2 linked regions of the Stegostoma tigrinum genome follow. The protein of the gene in region 2 purifies or fractionates together with the protein of the main gene of each other region. This does not show direct contact. Links are inferred from orthologs where the notes say so. Each region holds a gene or a part of one and is shown on either strand. Other genes may lie near its edges. The genes, in order: golga7 and claudin domain-containing protein 1-like.

Region 1 (10,580 bases), on a different chromosome or scaffold from region 2:
TTCCACATGGTAGACTATTGGAGAAAATATAGAGACACAGGATTGAGGGAGATTTAGCAGTTTGGATTAGAAACTGGCTTTCTATAAGAAGGCAACGAGTGGTGGTTGATGGAAAATATTCAGCCTGGAGTCAGGTCACAAGTGGTGTGCCTCAAGGATCTGTTGTGGCACCATTGCTCTTTGTCATTTCTATAAATGACTTGGACGCAGGCATAGGTGGATGGGTTAGTAGGTTTGCAGATGACACTAAAGTCGGTGGAGTGGTGAACAGTGTGGAAGAATGTTGCAGGGAGGCTTGGATAACTGCAGAATTGGGCCGAAAGATGGCAAATGGAGTTTAATACGGATAAATGTGAGGTGATTCACTTTGGGAGGAATAAGAAGGCGGCAGAATACCGGGTCAATGGAAAGATTCTTGGTAGTGTGGATATGCAGAGAGATCTTGGTGTCCATGTACATAGATCCCTGAAAGTTGCCACCCAGGTTGATAGCGCTGTTAAGATGGCTTACGGTGTGTTATGTTTTATTGGTAGAGGGATTGAGTTCCGGAACCGTGATGTCATGCTGCAACTGTACAAAACACTAGTGCGGCCTCATTTGGAATACTGCATGCAGTTCTGGTCACCCCATTACAGGAAGGATGTGGAAGCACTGGAGAAGGCACAGAGGAGATTTAGCAGGATGTTGCCTGGTCTGGAGCACAGGCCCTATGAAGAAAGGCTGACAGACTTGGGTCTGTTCTCATTGGAGAGAAGGAGGCTAAGAGGGGATTTAATAGAGACATACAAGATGATCAGAGGATTAGATAGGGTGGACAGTGAGAGCTTTTTTCCAAGGATGATGACTTCAGCTTGTGCAAGGGGAGCATAGCTACAAATTGAGGGGTGATAGATTTGACAGATGTCAGAGGCAGGTTCTTTACTCAGAGTGGTAAGGGCGTGGAACACTCTGCCTGCCAAAGTAGTTAACTCAGCCACATTAGGGGCATTTAAACAGTCCTTGGATAAGCATATGGATAATGATGGGATCGTGTAGGGGGAGGGGCTTAGATCAGTTCACAGATCGGCGCAACATCGAGGGCCGAAGGGCCTGTTGTGCGCTATATTGTTCTATTTTCTACCTCACTTAACTTCCAATCTGCACCTTGCACCCATATAACAGGGGGAAAATAACAAGAACTACCACTAAAACTTAAGCACCATGTCAATTCAGAGAAATGCCACATTCTTGCACATTTGCCACATTTTCAGTAAAAGGTTGCAGCAGTGAATCAGCAAAAAAAAAAGCGTTGACAGAGATAATGGGAACTGCAGATGCTGGAGAATCCGAGATAACAAAGCGTGGAGGTGGATGAACACAGCAGGCCAAGCAGCATCTTAGGAGCACACAAGCTGATGTTTCAGGCCTAGATCCTTCATCAGAAAAGGAGGATGGGGAGAGTGTTCTGAAATAAATAGGGAGAGGGGGAGGCAGATCAAAGATGGATAGAGAAGATAGGTGGAGACAAGACAGACAAGTTAAAGTGGGGGGGGGAGATGGAGCCTGTAGAGTTGAGTATAGGTGTGGGAGGGGATAGGTCAATCCCGGGAGGACGGACTAGTCAAGGGGTCAGGATGAGGTTAGGAGGTAGGGATGGAGGTGCAGCTTCAAGTGGGAGGTGGGGATAGGTGGGAGAAAGAACAGGTTGGGGGGGGGCAGGGACGAGCAGGGCTGGTTTTGGGATGCAGTGGGGGAAGGGGAGATTTTGAAGCTAGTGAAATTCACATTGGTACCACTGGGCTGCAGGGTTCCCAAGCGGAACAGGAGTTGCTGTTCCTGCAACCTTCGGGTGGCATCATTGTGGCACTGCAAGAGTCCCAGGATGGGCATGTCATCTAAGGAATAGGAGGGAGAGTTGAAATGGTTCACAAGTGGGAGCTGCAGTTGTTTATTGCAAACTGAGTGTAGGTGTTCTGCAAAGCAATCCCCAAGCCTCCGCATGGTTTCCCCGATGTAGAGGTAGCCACAATGGGTACAGCGGATGCAGTATACCACATTGGCAGCTGTGCAGGTGAACATCTGCTTGATGTGGAAAGTCTTCTTGGGGCCTAGGATGGGGGTGAGGGAGGAGGAGTGGGGGCAAGTGTAGCACTTCCTGTGGTTGCAGGAGAAAGTGCCAGGTGTGGTGGGGTTGGAGGGGAGTGTGAAGCGGACAAGGGAGTCACGGAGAGAGTGGTTTTCACTAGCTTCAAAATCTCCCCTCCTGCCAGTGCATCCCAAAACCAGCCCAGCACGTCCCTGCCTCCCTAACCCGTTCTTCCTCTCACCTATCCCCTCATCCCACCTCAAGTTGCACCTCCATTTCTTATCTACTAACCTCATCTCGCCCCCTTGACTTGTCCATCCTCCCCGGAATGACCTATCCCCTCCCTACCTGCACTCACCTCTACAGGCTCCACCCCTGCCCCTTTAACTTGTCTGTCTCCTCCCCACCCATCTTCTACTCTGTCCATCTTCGATCCACCTCCCCATCTCTCCCTATTGATTTCAGAACCCTCTCCCCATCCCCCTTTTCTGATTAAGGGTCTAGGCCCGAAACGTCAGCTTGTGTGCTCCTAAGATGCTGCTTGGCCTGCTGTGTTCATTGAGCTCCACACTGTTACCTCTGTAAAGCAAACAAGTTTTCTTTCCCTAAATAAAATGCTCTGAATTAACTATCAGCATCTGGAATCCACTGTGGCCATTGACTGCTAAATGAAGTGTAACCTCAAATCTGATTAATATGTGGAAAACATCATCTACTTTTCCTTTAGGTGCTCCTATTTTTAAAAAGTAAATTCTTGTGATATGACACTCATTCAGCGACATCCTGATAAATACATACAAAACAAGGATGTTACAAATGGGGGGGGCGGGGGGGGGAGAAGGGAGAGAATGAAAGAGGCTGTCAGAAAGTCACTAGATGAGGGATGCAGGCTCCAGGTGAAAACTCTAGAGACGGAGTTTCAAATATCACCATGACAAATGGAGGAATTTGCCTTCAATTTTAAAAACAAAATAAAAAGATCTAGTGTTGAAAACTAGGCTGAGGATTGATGACAAATCAAACATCAAGTATCATTGAAACCCACCCCATTCACAAATGTCACTCAGCATACTAATCTGCCAATCTCACTAAATGTGGTGTGATAATCCCATACCCACAGCAATGTTGTGATCAGAGATAATGGGAACTGCAGATACTGAAGAATCCAAGATAACAAAGTGTGAAGCTGGATGAACACAGCAGGCCAAGCAGCATCTCAGGAGCACAGTGCTCCTGAGATGCCGCTTGGCCTGCTATGTTCATCCAGCTTCACACTTTGCTATCCCACAGCAATGTTGTTGTTTCTGAGCTGCTTTCTGAATGGCCCAGCAAGCCACTCAGTTCAAGAACAATTAGGGGCCAACAACAAATGCTCACCACGAAGAAACACAAAAAGAAGAAGACTTGAGCTTCATTCATGCAACTCCACAGCCGATGAAGGGCTTTCGAAGTGAAGTTATTGCCATGAAATAAGGCCAGCCAATTTACACACAGCAGGCTTCCAAGGTCAGCCATAGGATAACAAACAGCTTGTTTACTTTCAAGGAATACTGTCTGAGAAACAAATATTGGCTAGCTTTCTGGGGACAGCACTCTCTGCTTCTTGAACAAAAATGAGACCAAGGAGTCTGTATATTCACTGGAAAGGGGCAGACCTCTGCCGTACGTCGGGGTTGAATGCTCAAATTGTGATGACTGATTCGATTGGAAACGCACGGCCCTTTCCACAACATCTTCCCCTCAGGAACCCCAACCCTATATCAAATTTTCCCTTCACCCCACCAACCATTCCCCCTTCTTCCACATCCAATCTGGTCCTTTCTCTTAAACCATACCCTCTTCCCCTTCGTCATCCCAACCCCAGAAACCCACTTCGCTCAAACATTCCCCTCCCCGACCCTCCACCACACCCTTTCCCAAAACCCCTTGGAATAAATCGGTGAATCAAGTAAACTGTTACTTCCACGACAGACAGATGAGACACAAATAAACAAAGCGCTTCCTGAAGGGTGCTGGGGCTGGGAGAGTAGAGGCGGACCGGTTTCCGGGAGGCACCAGAGGAGTCGCCAGCCTCCGAGCAGACACAAAATTCGCGGCCACCGCCCATCCCCCAAAGAACCCCTTCTCGGGTTCGGCGAGAGCCACTTTCACCAGCCCCCAGCTCTCAAACCACCCGCCCACAGAATCCGAGAAACCTTTCCACCGAACCACCTCCTCCTACCTCCGCCATCTTGAGCCGCCGCCTGCTTCCGGGTTACTGGCTCCCACGATCCGAGTTCCGCCTGGAACAAAAGGTTCCCCCCCCTCTCAGAGCTTACAGCCTAGTACTACACATGTTTCTTCTGCATTGTTTGATCCTTCATATCATAAACCTCTTCAATGAGCTGGTCATCCTCGTAGTGTCAGTTTATTTTATTTTACATTTTGCATAAGTCGGCAAAATAGTCTGGAAGATGGTTATAACAAAACCCTAAAAAACCTGTGCAGCCCATTTAGAAAATCATAAACCCCATCTTCTTGCAGATTATACCATTGACATTGTTCTCACTTTTTCCTTCAGATTGGTACAAATTGTTCAAACACGTTCACATTCACACGCTTTCCTACACGAGTGGAGGCATACATTTGAATTTTTCTCAGCAGCCCTGAAACAGACCATTAACCCCGACTACCCAGAGGGAACCACTCATGAAAAAAAGTTGCACATTGAGGGGAAACGCTTATTTGTGAAACTGCTTGTTGATGTCTCATCAATATTCAATTTTCTATCTTCTCAAATACACTATATAAGCAAGAGATTGAGAAAATCTGACATGAAAATCAGTATGGGTACCTGGTAGATTTTTCCCTCTGCTTGCTCCGAAGAGGCTCCGGGTTGTTTACATTGGAGTATTAAAAAAAAGTAGCCCATTTGACCCTGGAGCCTTGCTCCGACATTTAATATGATCATTGCTGATTATTCAGGCCAACACCCTAATCCCATGCTTGCCGCTACCATATTCTTTTTGCCACAACAGTTATAGCTACCTCCTTCTTGCAAACATATAGTGTTTTGACATAAACCACTTTCTGTAGTCGTAACTTCCACAGGCTTAACACGCTCATAGTGAAGAAATTTCTCCTCATCTCAATCCTAAAAGGTTTATTCCCTATCCTGTAACTATCAACCCTGGTTCTGGACATTCCCCAAATTGGGGTACATCCCTCCTTCATCTAACCCGTCTTGTCCAATGCTACAGCCAATCTGTATCTCAGGGCATGATCCACGGGCACCATCCACACCCAAACCTTACCCACAACCATATTGGCATCTCACTCTCTGAGACACTGGCAGGCCACACACTTCCATTGCAGGGAGCACTGAAAACTAGCCTTGCAAATCTGCAACAGGAAATTTTTGCGCACAGACAGGCACACAGCTCAACAGTTGGACCAGGCTGCATCTCAGGACTGCTTGCTTGCTCTGAAAGTGTTCCCTTACTTAGCGTCTACCTGCACGCTTGCACCACTATCCCTTTCATTACCTCGTCATGCCACGCTTATTAGACTGCTGGGTGGTCAGCCAGAGCCAAAGGCTGTCAGGACAGCCATACTGAGGTATTCTTGAGCACAGACATGCACACACGCGTGCCTACACACACACACACACACACACACACACACACACACACACACACACACACACACACACAGTTTGTCACATTTAGCAGTCAGAAACTGTCCAGTGAGCCAGGGAGTGGGGGATCTTAGTGAATGGTAAACCAAGAAAACTACAGCTTTCACCAGCTGCAAGCATAGCATTCATATGACACATTTATTTGACCATATGATCCTCAGTTCAGTCAAAGGGGGGGGGGTCACTGTCGGTCAGTCAGTTACTTTAGGGATACAGTCTGCACACACTCAAGGGGCTTGGCCATGGTCAGTCAGCTGCTTGGGACACTCGCAGTCAGGGAATCTGCCCCAGTGTAGTTAGGGAGTGGGTAGCGGTCAGTCCTGCAGTGCCAACACAAGCTGTCAGCATTAATTGCAGACTGTTAGTCAGGGAGCTGCAAGGACTGCACTCAAGAGCCTGGTCAGTCAAAGACCAGGGACTGTTAGTTAAAGTTGGTCAGAGGCCTGAAGCAAATGAAGCCCACGGAGTTCATTCATTCACCATTTGGGAAATCCAAGGGGGCCCTGTTCTGGAAGGGAAGGAATCACTGCCAACAGGAGTGGAGGAATCAAGGCTAGTTTGGGAAAGCAGAGGCACTTACAGTGGTGTGGATGAGGTTGTGATGGGAAGAAACATGAGATGAATCGTAGGGGAGCTGGGAACAGTAAGACATGGCAAGGGAAGATAGCAATAATGGCATCACAAAATGCTAACGCTGCTTGAAGGGAAACTGTGCAAATTCCAAGGGCTCTGCATAATACACAAAATATTGCTTCATCATATGCCATGTAAGTGTAACAATGGTCTGCACTGAACAGTGAAGGTTGAACGTCTGGGATGGAGAGGGGGAGGGTGTCAGAAAATCATAGATTCCCTACAGTGCAGAAAGAGGCCATTCAGGCCAATGGGTCTGCAGTAATCCTCCAAAGAACATTCTGGGGGACAAGGCTTACCCACAGAGACCATGAGTCATGACACCATTGCACACTGCCCTGACTGATGTGGAGAGTTGGTATGGTGCTGCTCATGTGCTAACCATGACCCTTGATGCAGCAGAGCTTTGAACTGTTGAAGATGTGACTCTACTGCTCGGACCAGTCTTGGTTGGTGGTTGTAGGTGGACCCTGCGATAGAGTCAGGGCAGAATGTGTCCTCATCATCCTGGCTCCGTGCTGTCCTCTGGACAACTGCAGCTGACAATAAGACCATGTACTGTGTGCAAATAGACTGGGCAAATGGGGTGCAAAGGTCTGTTTTAGCATCCGTAGTGTCAAACACTACCCATGATATTCACTCATAGACTCAGAGAATCCCTGTAGAGTGTAAGCTGACCATTTGGCCCATTGAGTCCACAATGACTCTCTGAAGAGCAGCCCACTTAGACTTACCCTGCTACCTAATCCTCAATCCTGCATTTCCCTTGGCTAGTCCAACTAGCCAGTGCATTCCTGGACAGTTTGAGGCAATTCAGCATGGCCAATCGACCTAGCGCGCATATATCTTCTCCTCTATCCATCTTCAGTCCGCCTCCCCCTCTCTCCCTATTTATTTCAGAACCCTCTCCCCATCCCCCATTTCAGATGAAGGGTCTAGGCCCGAAACATCAGCTATGGTGCTCCGAAGATGCTGCTTGGCCTGCTGTGTTCATCCAGCCCCACACTTTGTTATCCCACATATCTTTGAACTGTGGGAGGTAACCGGAGCACCTGAAGGAAACCCACACAAACATGGAGAGAACATGCAAACTCACACATAGAGTGGCCAAAGGGAGGAATCAAGCCTGGGTGCCTGGTGCTGTGAGGCAGCAGTGCTATCCACGGAGCCACAATGCCGTGCAACTAATTAGAGTTATAGAGTCAGAGTGATGTACTGCAAGGAACCAGACCCTTCAGTCCAACTCATCCACTCAGACCAGATATCTTGAATGACCAGCATTTGGCCCACAGCCCTCGAAACACTTCCTGTTCATGTACTCATCCAGATGCCTGGTAAATGTTGTAATTGTACCAGCCTCCACCACCTCCTCCAGCAGCTCATTCTATGCACACTCCAACCTCTGAGTGAAAATATTGTCCCTTGGGTCCCTTTTCAATCTTTCCCCTCTCACTTTAAGCTTATGCCCACTAGTTTTGGATTCCACTATCCTGGGAAAAAGACCTTGGCGATTCACACTGTCCATTCCCCTCATCGTTTAATAAACCTCCACAAGGTCACCCCTCAGCCTCCCGGTGCTCCAGGGAAAATAGCCCCAGTCCATTCAGCCTCTCCCTATAGTTCAAATCCTCCAATCCTGGCAACACCCTTTTAAATCTTTTCTGAACATTTTCATGTTTCACAACATCTCTAAGTAGGGAGACCAGAATTGAATGCAGTATTCCAAAAGAGGTCTAACCAATGTCCTCATGGAGAAGATATCACTCCATATGGCTCCAAACTCAAGAATGCCGTTGGGCACTCAGCAAAAGCTGTAGATTGTCAATGTTGGGAAGGATGAACTGGTCGGCAAAACACTACACAGTCAATTATATTGGCAGCCTTAGAGGCTATCCATTGCGACCCTGGTTCATGACTGCATTGTCTAATCCCCTGGCTAATGCAGAGCACAAATTGACAGACACTGGTGCCTCAACTAGGGCCATGATCAAGCAGAGCATTAGGCTGTTGAAGATGAGGTTCAGATGCTTGGATTGGTCTGGGAGAGCTTTCATTTGTTGTTTTTTTTAATATTGAGATGTGTATAAAACACCACTTGACAGAACGGTCACAAAAGTTTTGAGGTAGACTAAGGAAACATAACACAAGAAAAAAAAGTCATGTTTCTCCTTCTTATGTAGTCAATAGATTCCACCTTCTCTTGTGATGCATGAATCAACAGCAACACTTGAAAAAAGAAATTGTCGATTGCAAAGCCCTTTGAGATGTCCTTCGCTCATAAAAGGCACCATCCTCTGAAGAAGGGTCTAGGCCCGAAACGTCAGCTTTTGTGCTCCTGAGATGCTGCTTGGCCTGCTGTGTTCATCCAGCCTCACATTTTATTATCTTGGAATCTCCAGCATCTGCAGTTCCCATTATCTCTCATCCAAACCCATGTATTTCTCTCAAAATACATAAAGGAGACAATATTAATAATCACTTGCATCAGTTTTAGGTTTTTGTGGACAACTTAAAATTTATGGAATTTAATCCCTGGACATTAATATGAATTCTTGGTGTATGTAACAAAAACACAGTCTTGTTCAGTCACCATGAACCAGTACTTTCGATAATATATTGCACGTGACCTGACACAATACCTCTGTTGTTATAAAACAGCTTTTCCTCCGGGGCCACTGTAACTCCAGGAGGGAGCACTTGGTGATCATGCTCGGGAGCCATGTCCAGCTGATCCTATCAGATAAATAACAACAGATAGTTTATTCGCATTTGTAATCACAGATTGTAAATTGAAACTAAATGAGAAATTTCTCCGATGCTGCATTAGGTGGCCAGGTTGTTTCACAGGTCAACTATCACCAAGTACGACGTCCAACATAACTGTTCAAAGAAAGGAAATTGGTGTTTTTCAGGATGCATCCTATGAGCCCTGGAAATCTGACACAACTCTGTGACTTTTTTTTTGCTTTACCCTATTTCATTTCCACTCAGGTTTGGAAAGGACACTGCTTCGGTCTACTGCCTTGGGACACTTCAAATCATGTAACTTGTCCCATTGTACAACAAAGGACAAGACCATTTGGCCCATTAAATTTTTCCACACAGTGCCACATGTTCTTTTGCTAGTCTCTGTAAACTTGCATTCATTGATGAGACAACGTTCAGCAATTCAGTCATGAAGACCTCTTATACTCGACTTTAAACATGAACTCTGTTTCTTATTCCTCAGATGTTGAAGACTTCCAGTATTTTCTATTTTTATTACAGCAACTATAAATTGTTTTTTTTTATATCTTCTAACTCAAGCCACTCTGACTCCAAATGTGCGAAAATACATGTAAATCAATGGAGAGAATGACAATCCTTGTCAGCTCAATTTTCACTTCCCCAGTCTGGTGGATCCCAGGAGCTTGTGTTTTTGAAGGAAACAGTGTGGTTAACAAATGCAAGGAGAGGTGAGAACTGCATTCAATTCCATCACCCATCCCACCCCCACAACCAGCGCCTATTATCCAGCAGACCAGGGAAGTTGATATTGAGCTGGGAACTGAATCCAGTTTTTACCCACTTCAATCTAGCTGTCTGCTAATTCAAGTTTTGGGTGGCAAGGACACTCAGTCCAAGTGGTCCTATGTTAAACTTACAGGAGAAATCCCATGAAGTCCTTTGAGCAATTTTATCCAAAGCCCTGGATGAATCAAAGCAGAAAAATGAATGTTCCCTTTTAAATTCTGGTCCCTGCAACTAAACCATATTGTTCCCCAATCCCCACTCTCCAAGGCTTACTGGATAGCTGCAAAATGTTCCTCCCCAGTTACATGGCAGATACTCTGGCATTCCCACCCACCAGATGAGGCAACGACTCCTGCTGGGCTCAGAGGAGGTTGGAGATAGACCGGAGTTGGGGCAAAGAGTGTTGAAGTCCAAATGTGGAAAAGGGCTTGGACTGTCTGTCAAAATCTTTCCAGGCCTCAGAACACACCTTTAGCACTCACACAGCCAACAACCAACGTCTTGATATAGGCTCGGAGGGTCCATTTCACCCATCTCCACCAACAGATAAACTAAAATCTCAGTTAAACCAGGGATGGTTTTTGGCTTTAAAAAAAATATTTTTGCATATTAAGTTTTGCATTTAAGGTTCAAACATTTGAAGAGACTCGTAAATGGGAGAAGTTGAGCATGGCTGCACAGAAAATAAAGAGC
Region 2 (10,413 bases):
ACCAGGGACCCAGGTTCAATTCCAGCCTTGGGTGACTGACTGTACGGAGTTTGCATTTTCCCCATGTCTGCATTGATTTATGCTGGGTCCTCAGGTTTCCTGCCACAGTCGAAAGGTCTGCAGGCTAAAGTGGATTGGCCATGCAAATGCAAAGTAAGAGGAACAGGATGGATGGGATGCTCTTCACAGAGTGATGTGGACTCAAGGGGCCACATGGCCTGCTTCCACACTGAAGGGATTCTATGATTCTATGATGTGTACCGGGGCTTTATAGCTCCTACAAGCCACCAGGATCTCAGTGGTCTTCCACTGCTGTCATTTTGTGCATCCCAAATTTTAATTGCAACATCGCCAGCCATTCCATGCCTCTGGGATTCACTCCCCTTACCTTGCTCTCCTCCTCTAAAGCTCATTTTCCCTCCCTTTCTCAGCGAGCTTTCAGCCAACTGATCCAATTTCTCTGCACAAAACTTTATGTCGTGCCATGACCTGTAAAGCTCCTATGAAGTGCACAGGCATAGAACAATACAGCACAGTACAGGCCCACGTTGTTGTGCCGACCTATTATCCTACCAAAACCAATCTACCCTGCATACCCTACATTTTACTATCCTCTATGTGCCTATTCAAGAGTCGCTTAAAAGTCTCTGAAGCGTCTGACTCCATTACGACTGCAGGCAGTGCATTCCACATGCCTACCACTCTCTGTATGTGGAACCTACTTCTGATATTTCCCCTATTACTTCCTCCAGTCACCTTAAAATTATGTGCCCTCTTAATACTTATTTCCGCCCTCAGAACAAGACTCTGGCTATCCGCTCTATCTATGCCTCTCATCATCTTGTAAACCTCCATCTAGTCACCTCTTATCCTTCTTCATTCCAATGGAAAAAGCCCTAGTTCCCTCAACCTTTCCTCATGAGGCCTGTCCTCTAGTTCAGTCAGCATCCTGGTAAATCTCCTCTGCACCCTCTCTGAAGTTTCCACATCTTTCCTAAAATGAGGTGACCAGAACTGAACACAATATTCAAAGTGTGGTCTAACCAGAGTTTTATAGACTGTTTTCATTGAAAATATTCCAAGATACTTGTTTCCACCACCATTTAGGAACAGTTTCAAGAAACAGAAACATAGAAATACAGAAGATAGGAGCAGGAGACGACCATTCGGCCATTTGAGCCTGCTCCACTATTTGTCATGATCATGGATAATCATCCAACTCAATAGCCTAATCCTGCTTCCTCACCATAGCCTTTGATCCCATTCGCTCCAAGTGCTATAGCTACTCACCTCGTGAATACATTCAATATTTTGGCATCAACTACTTTCTGTGACCATAAATTCCACCAACTCACCACTCTTTGGGTGAAGAAATGTCTCCTCATCTCAGTCCTAAAGGGTCTATCCCACATCCTCAGAATCTAACCCTTACTTCTGGTCACACCCACCGTTAGGAATGTCCTCCCTGCTTTGACACTGTCAAGTTGGGTGGGAGGGTGAACTGGGGTGAGGATGCAGAGACATTCAGCATGATCTGGACAGGTTGGGTGAGTGGCCAAATCAATAACGGATGCGGTATAATTTGGATAAATGTGAGTTCTAAACTTTGGAAGCAAAAACAAGAGGGCAGTTTACTACCTGAATGGCTGTAATTTGGGACAGGGGAGTGTGCAGTGGGACCTGGGCATCCTTGTGCACCGGTCACTGAAGGTAAGCATGTAGTTGCAACAGGCGGTAAAGAAGGCAAATGGTATGTTGGTCTTCATTGCGAGAGGTTTTGAGTCCAGGAGCAGGGATGTGTTGTTGCAGTTACGCAGGGCCTTGGTGAGGCCACACCTGGAATGGTGCATGCAGTTTTCTTCTCCTTTTCTGAGGAAGAATGCCCTTGCTGTTAAGGAGTACAGCGCAGGTTTACCAGGGTTGTTGGGTCTGACTGATGGATTGACGCGGTTAGAATTGTTTTCACTGGAGTTCAGATGAATGGGGGCGAGAGTTCTCAGAGAGACTGGTGCACAAGGATGCCCAGGTCCCACTGCACATTTCCCTGTCCTAATTTCGGCTTACTGGTCTATAATTCCCTGGTTTCTCTCGGCCTCCCTTTTTGAATACTGGAGTGACATTAGCTATCCTCCAATCTGCAGGGACTGTTCCAGAATCTATAAAATCCTGGAAAATGACCACCAATTTCTCCACTTTTTCCTCAAGCCACATCCTTAAGTACTCTGGGATCGAGATTATCAGGCCCTGGGGATTTAGCCACCATTCAATCCCATCAATTTTCCCAACACCATTTCTCCACTAATATTGATCACCCTCAATTCTTCCCTCTCACTTGTTCTTGCATTCTCCAACATTTTTGATATCTGATTTGTGCTCTTTTGTGAAGACAGAACCAAAGTATGTAATCAGTTATTTCTTTGTCCCCATTATACATCCCCCCGTTTCTAAAAAGGGTGTCCTACATTTGTCTTCGCAAACCTACAGAAACTTAGTGCCACTTTTTTAATGTTCTCTACAAGCTTACTGTCATACTGTTTTTTTCCTCTCTCAATCAATTCCTTGGTCCTTCTCTGTTGAATTCTAAACTGTTCCCAATCCTCAGACATATTATTTTTCTGGTCAATCTGTATGCTTCGTCCTTATATCAGATACTATCTCCAATTTCCTTTGTAAGGTATGGATTGCCCCTGTTAACCATACTGTTTTATTGCCAGACAAGAATAAATGTCATTGCAGTTCCCCCATGCTTTCCTTCAATGTTTGCCATTGCCTATCCATGTCATCCCTTTAAGTAACTCTCCCCAGCCTATCAAGGCCTATCTCCACAGTTTCATTTATTAAGATTCAGCACCACTGTTTTCCTTAGACAATCTCTTGATCTGTATAAATTAGCAAGCTCTTAATTTTTAAGAGCCTAGTTCAAGATACGCCCAGAAAAGGAAACATCCTTTCAACATTCATCCTCTCAAGAACCCTAGGATTTTAAATGCTTCAAAGAAGTCACCTCTGACTTGTCTAATCTTCAGCAAATGTAAGCCAGGCCTGTCCTCTACCTACCTATTACAGGTATTAGTCTAGGAACTCTTCACTGAACTGCTTCCAGTGTATTTATACCCTTCTTGAAGGAAGTTTTCCTGCATTCCGACAGCTAGCAGAGCTGTGAAAATCTCCACACAAATCCAAATGCACATCTCAAGAACCGTCACTGAGCCCACAACGTTAACTTTGTTTTCCCTTCACTGATGTTGCCAGACCTGCTGAGTTTTGCAAGCGATTTCTGTCTTTGTTTCAGATTTCCAGCATCCGAAGTTCTTTGTTTTGTTTTCTCTGTGTGCATACACGAGCACTAACTGAAAATCTACAGTCGTGGCTGTGGACGACTGTTTTACTGAACAACTGCATTTGAGACAGTCACCAAATTTCAAGCATAAATTCTCAGATTGAAAGGCGACGGTGCCAATGTCTCAAAACGCTAACTGAGAAGTCCACAGTTCTTTGGATTTTGTTTTCGTCAACTCTTTTCATGTTTGGGAAGGTTAGCAGGGAGGAAAGACAAAAAAAACAAACCACCGATTCTCGCTCTTGATGGTCAAGTATCTACTCTTAACTAACCACCATGGGGCTTCCCTGATAATGAAGAGACCTCCCTGTTCAACAACGTCCAGGGGTCCTGACCTTCACCACACCGGGACCGTGCAAGCTGACCTCTGTTAGCCTCCCCATCTCAAGCGGTCCACAGACACCCCACTAAGCCCCATCTCACACTCACACTCATACTCACATTCACACTCCTACCTGCCCTCTCTCCAAATCTTCAACCACCAGCCTTCACATCCACTTCCGGCTGTGCCGTAACATCCGGTAACGCTACGTAATCGCGCCACAAACGTGGCCCCGCCCCTTTCCAACCTCCCCTTCGGATTCGTCAGTTCACAGCGATGACGACAAAAGGTCGGCGTCCGCCCATTACCCGCCGCTTTCTGCGCCCGCGCCAGCTCCAGCAGCATTGACCCCCGCCCGCCTCAGTCCTAGCCGCGACCTTCGCTCTGTCACCGCACCCCCCAACCGTCTCCGTCTCGCGCCATCAATTCTAGTCCCGCCCCATCTGCTTCCGCCCCGCCCACCCCCGTAACTCCGTTCGCGCCCCTGTTTCTCCCACCCTGCCGAGCTGTTTCACCCAGCCACATCCCCACCCCTACCCGCTGAGCCTTGGCCCTCGATCTTCGCCCCGCCTGCCCAAACTGAGCCGCGCCTTCTCGTTCTCATCCGCAGATGTTCGCTCCGCCGCCTCTGTCGCTCCGCCCCGCCCGCACCCCTTCAGAACCGCCCCTGTCGCCCAGTCCCGCCCTCGCACTTTCAGCCCCGCCCTCTCCCTCCCAGCCCCGCCCCCTGTGACCCCGTTCCATCGTCTCCATTTCAGCCCCGCCCCCGGTGGTTAGCCCCGCCCCTGACACTCAGCTCCACCCTGTCCCTTTCAGCCCCGCCCCCTTGCAGCCCTGTTGTAACGCGCTGAACAAGCTGCAGATGGCCTGCATGCACCCATTTCTTGGTTTCCACCGCATCCCACTTACCACACGCCAGCCTTACCTATTTGAGTTTCTAGTTTCAGATCTACAAAAACTGCCAGCTGTCCCACCACGGACCCAGGGGAGAACAACTGAAGAGGTCTGGGGCCGTTGTGGTAGTGCAACGGCAGTTACAGCAACCAGGTCATCCAGAAACCCCTGATTAACTGTATTTCTGTGTTATACCAGGCTAATGTATTCAAATCCCTCCATGGCAAATAGTGAAATTTGAATTCAGTAAAAATCTGGCCTAATGGTAACCCTGTCAATTGTCATAGAAAGCCAAGTAAAACACGATTGTCATTTAGAGAGAGAAAGCTGTCATTTCTACCTAGTCTAGACTCCAGCAAAGTGGTTGACTCTTAATTGCCCTATGGGAACTTGAGGGCAGCCAATAAATTCTGGCCTTGACTATTTATTCTGTGCAGCTTTGGGCAATGTCTATGTTGGCTGTAGTTAATTGCGCTCCTTAGTCCTTTTCAAAATGTTGGCTTTTGTTCTTTTGGTGTCACTTCAGTTCCATGCTGTTAATATTTGTGCGCCCGATGTGGATGGGGAAGGACAAGGCAATGGACCACCTAGTGGCTCTGCCCGGATCTGGCTCATGTTATCATCAACCGGAGAGACAGCGGGACATGGAGGGGCTTTGTGGTTCCCAGTTGACTTGGTCTCTTTCACAATTATGTTCCTGCCCAGTTGTCCTTGGAGAGGGAACATCTAGTGTCCACCCATGCCCTCAATACATTTAGGAAGAGGTGGGCACAACAGGAAGTGTTTAGATCTGTTATTTCCTCATCCAGCTTCATTTTAATGTATTCCCTTCCAACCCTTTCTTAACTTTTGTTATTGTTACTATTTTGTTATTGCGTTGGCTGCAGTGCTTGTAAATCGTTGCTTCTTTTAATTAGTTAACGAAGTGATGGGTTATTCATAAAATATAAGTAAATGCTGGCCGAGCTAACAATGTATTCATCCCATGAACAAATAATGAAATGAAAACATAATTTCCCAAAAACGTTCTGTGTTTAAGTTTGATGAATAACTTAGAATCGCAGAGTCCCTGCCACACAGGAATAGGCCATTCAGGCCTTTGAGTTTGCACTGAACCTCTGAACAACATCCAGCCAGACCCACTCAACCACCCTATCCCCATAAATTGGCATGATGTTTTTACAATGGCTAACTCACCTAATTGGCACATCCCTGCACACTATGGACAATTTATCATGGACAATCTACGTGACCTGCATGCCTTTGGATTGTGGGAAGAAACCAAAATTTGGTGAAAGTTTATTCAGGGGATAAGTACTGGATTGGATTATGCACTGTTTTCCAAGAGAAAATACAGAGGGTGGATATAAATATCAGTTTATTCACAGTGCTAGAAGGCAGGAAGTGGTATTCCACAAGGATCAGCGCAGCAACAAGCATTTTGGGATCAAAAATCTTTCATTGCTTTTGACCAAGTGTCAGTTTTGTCATGTTTGGCAGAGTGTTTGTGCTTGGCCCAGTGATTTTTTTCTTGTCCCCTCTTAATAAATCCACCTCTTCCCTACTGATCTCACACCCACTGAGCATCTCTCCATGGATTCTCGCCCCCAATTCTGGGATGTGGTGTTCCCAAAACATCTCGCCAGAGCGGGAAAATCCCAGAAACTTTGGCACCGATGCTATCCTTAAAAAGTCTGGGTTTGCTCTGCTCATTTCCCCATGCTTGTTCCAGATGTGGTGTGGGGCGTGGGGTGGTATCTTGGTTTCATGCTTTATGGACAGGACCCTGGAGGGAGTGCCATGGAGACGCACTATCACCTTCCCCCCAGAGCCAACATAGGAGGGTGCCACACCAGACTCTGGCAGCCCAGTCTGAGGTTGTCAGCACTGTTACCTCCAAGCCCCGCCACTGCTAAAAGTTCTATATGTGTTGATCAGCATGCCAAAACATTGGCCTCCACTTCCAGATGCCACAGCTCCCCTCAGACCTCCCAGGCCAGCAGATTAATATTAAAGGAAACATTGGCTGCAGCCCAGGGTTGGTACAATCTGTGGTGTCGGTGGGAGGTCAATGCCCTTCTCCACTCTGCCAGTGTTAGATGTCACTGTTTTCTCACCCATTTTACTTTGCACTCACTCATTTCAATGAGACCTGGGTGTCCTGGTGCCCCAGTCACTGAAAGTACACATGCCAGTGCAGCAGGCAGTAAAGAAGACAAACTGAATGTTGGCCTTCATAGCTAGACAATTCAAGCACTGGAACAAGGATGTCTAGCTGCAATCATACAGGGCATTGGTGAGGCCATATGTGGAACATTATGTAGTTTTTGTCTCCTTAGGAAGGATGTTTTTGCTAAAGGAGAGTAGTGATGGATTACCGAATTGATTCCTGGGAATGCCAGGACTGACAAATGAGGAGAGATTGAGTTAGTTAAGATAGTATTCACTGGAGCTTGGAAGGGTGGGATCTCATAGAAACCTCTAAAATTTTAACAGGGCTAGCCAGGCTAGGTGCAGGAAGGATATTCCCAATGGTGGGGATTCGAGAACCAGGGGTCATAGTTTAAGAATTAGGGGTAAATCTTGTAGGACTAAGATGGGGAGAAATTTCTTCATCCATAGAGTGGTGAGCCTGTGGAATTCACTGCCAAAAAAAAAGCAGTTGAGGCCAAAGCATTACATGTTTTCAAGAAGGAGGTAGGTTATCTCTTGTGGCTAAAGTGAACAAGGGATCCTGCAGGGGTGCTGTTTAGGGTATTGAGCTCAATGAGCAGCCATGATCATATTGAATGGCAAAGCAGGCATGAGGGACCTAATGGCCTACTCCTGCTCCTATCTTCTATGTTTCTACATGTCTAGTTGTGCTACTGCACACACCTCCCAACAAGGTTTAAGCTCCTCTGATGTTAAGTCACCAGATTCATTAAGTCACACGGCACAGAAACAGACCTTTTGGTCCAACCAGTCCATGGTGACCACAATCCCAAACTAAACTAGCCCTATCTGCCTGCACTGACACATATCCCTCCAGAAATTTCTAATTCATATGCTCATCTAAATATCTTCCAAATGTTATAACTGTATCCACATCCACCACTTCCTCTGGATGTTCATTCCACATGTTAACCTCTCTCTGAGTAAAAAAAAACTGCCGCACACATCTTATTTAAATCTTTATCCTCTCACTTTAAAGATATGCCCCCTAGTCTTAAAATGTCCCACCTTCAGGAAAAGACAGCTTCCATTCACCTCATCTAAACCCTCTCGATTATGGAAACTACTGTAAGGTCACCCTTCAATCTCCTATGCTCCAGTGGAAAATGTCCCAACCAATCCAGGCTCTCCCCATAACTCCCAGCAAGTAAATCTTTTCTGAACCTTCTCCAGTTTAATAGTACCCTTTCTCTTACAGGTGACCAGAACTGAATGCAGGACTCCAGAAGGGCCCTCATCAATGCCCTATACAACCTCAACATAACTTCCTAACTCCTCTACTCAAAGATCCAAAATATGAAGGCAAGCATGCAAAACGCCTTCTTAGCCACCCTATGTGATGCAAACTTCAAAGAATTATGTACCTGAACCCCTAGGTCTGTCTGTTCTACAACACTACACCAGGCCCAACTTTTAATTGCATAAGTCCGGCTCTTGTTTGTTTTTACCTTGCATTTACCCAAATTAAACTGCATTTCCCACTCTGCAACCCATTGACCCAGTTGATGAAAATTTCTTTGTATTTTTAGGTCACTGCCTTCACTGTCTGCTATAAGACTGGAAGCATTAACCGATTTTTCTCCCCACAGATGCGACAAGACCTACTGAGTTTTTGGTAACAATTTCTGTTTCTGTTTCAAGGCTCATGCTTGACCACCCTCACTATCACCTGTATTATCTTCGCTCACTCACTCTCAGCACACTGAACCCAAATACAGCAATCTCTTCACTGTCCCCCTGTGCTGCCCACTCACTCAGGATACCTCCGCACCTGTGCCAAAAACAATAACTGTGCCACCCACTTTCACCTACTTTAATACCTGCCACTCAAGCATTTGAGGAAAGATTCACGAGAGAAAGGCAGAAAGAGTCGAAGAGGTTAGTGGACTATTTGACATTGAGCTCCTCACCTCTTAGGCAGACAGGTTCTTGACTGTCCTGCAAAGATCTCTGACCATGTTCAAGCCCCTGCTCCTGACTGAAAGCTACCTCCCTTGACTGAGAACTGCTGTCAACCATGACAAGCTTCCTGGCATCATGTCTGTGCTCGGCAGCACAGCAATGCAGCACTGAGGCTGGTACCCTTGGTTGACGGGCAAGACAAACGAAGGCATGGCAGGAATGCTGGGAGTTTCGGAATTGTCTTGGAGTGAGTGCACATTAAGAAAGCAAGAAAATGGCATGATAGTCCAGACCATGAGCTGGTTTCATGGTCCTGAGCACAGAGTGTCCTTTTTGGATCATTGCAATGATAGTTGCTGATGCAGCTTGAGGTGTGACTTTGAAGTGCAGGGACAAGTGAATCAGAAATGTGCCGTGAGGGTCTTAAGAAACTGCCACATGCCAGATGCCAAAGTCCGTGTCAAAGGAGTGTGGTGTATGTGGCCTGTACCCAAGGATTGTGCCCTGAGGTGTTGGTGCCCGATGTCCACCAATGTGGTCCTTTGGCCCAAGTGGCAAGCTGAAGTTACCAGGTACTCACTCTGGTTTAGGTGTCGAGATTGGCATCCAGCTTCATAGCTTTCAACATGTCGTCGATGACAATGAGCACCTCACCAAGATCTTCCCTATTCCTCCACTTCTTGCCTTCAAACAACCACAAATCTTCAACAAACCATTGTTTGCAGAAAATTACCCAGCCTTCAGGACAACATCGACTACAATACTACTCAACCTTGCCACAATACCCTCTGCAAGACAAGTCAGATCATCAACATGGATACTACCATCACTCGTGGGAACACCACCCACCATATACATGGCAGATACTCATGTGACTTAGCCAATGTTGGCTATCTCATATACTTCAGGCAAGGGTGCAGTGAGACATGGTATATTGGTGAAATCATGCAGACACTATGACAATGGATGATTGGACACCGCGCAACAATCAACAGTCAGGAATGCTCCCTGCTAGTTGGGAAACACTTCAGCAATCAAGAGCATTCAGCCTCCGATCTTGTTAAGTGCCCTCTAAGGCAGACTTCAAGATACAGAACAATGCAGATCGGCCAAGCAAAGACTGATGGCCAAGTTTCATACCCATGAAGAAGGCCTAAACAGTGATGTTGGGTACATGTTGCACCACAGGTGACCTTACCATACTGCTCTGTATCTGTTAAATCTTATTCACTGTCCTGTTTTGACAGCATCACCTTGAAAAATTGTTATGATCTCTCAACCTTAATTAGTTTGCACAGTTTTGGATTCGGCATGCGATTCCAGTCATTTACTTTGTCTCCACCACCACCTTATTTTTAATTTTTTGTAATTATCTCTCTGCCACATTTAATCGGATTATAGGTCATCCCTATGTTTGTTATTCAGCTATTGATGCTTTACTCACTGACTAACACTTTTGGTCACCTGCAGATACTTATCATCCGACACTCCATTCACACAGTTGTATGATCTTTTGCTTCCTCTGCCCTTGATCTCTCTGCCTATAAACTCTGGATCTACGTGCTCTGTGCTCTCATTGCACGTGACAAAGGGGCGCACTCCGAAAGTTTGTGTGGTTTCAAATAAACTTGTTGGATTATAACCTGGTGTCATGTGACTTCTAACTTTGTCCACCAGTCCAAAACTAGCACCTTCACATCATAAATAATGTCTAACAGTGGTGTGCATACACCGGCCTTAC

Evidence for each region.
Region 1: the proteins of claudin domain-containing protein 1-like (region 2) and golga7 purify together in Homo sapiens (affinity purification with mass spectrometry; 3 studies listed by BioGRID and IntAct, counting the BioPlex papers as one, with this or other methods). This does not show direct contact. The link is inferred for Stegostoma tigrinum from reciprocal best matches to the Homo sapiens genes CLDND1 and GOLGA7.

What each region holds. Positions count from the first base shown.
Region 1 is NC_081393.1:13,281,171-13,291,750, reverse strand, and holds the start of golga7 (golgin subfamily A member 7), read right to left. Parts: upstream 4,384-10,580; 5' UTR 4,296-4,383; coding exon 4,287-4,295; intron 1-4,286. UniProt on the Homo sapiens protein: May be involved in protein transport from Golgi to cell surface. The ZDHHC9-GOLGA7 complex is a palmitoyltransferase specific for HRAS and NRAS.
Region 2 is NC_081394.1:10,804,212-10,814,624, reverse strand, and holds the start of claudin domain-containing protein 1-like, read right to left. Parts: upstream 4,302-10,413; 5' UTR 4,200-4,301; intron 3,910-4,199; exon of another isoform or gene 3,782-3,909; intron 1-3,781. UniProt on the Homo sapiens protein: Plays a role in negatively regulating the permeability of cells to small molecules.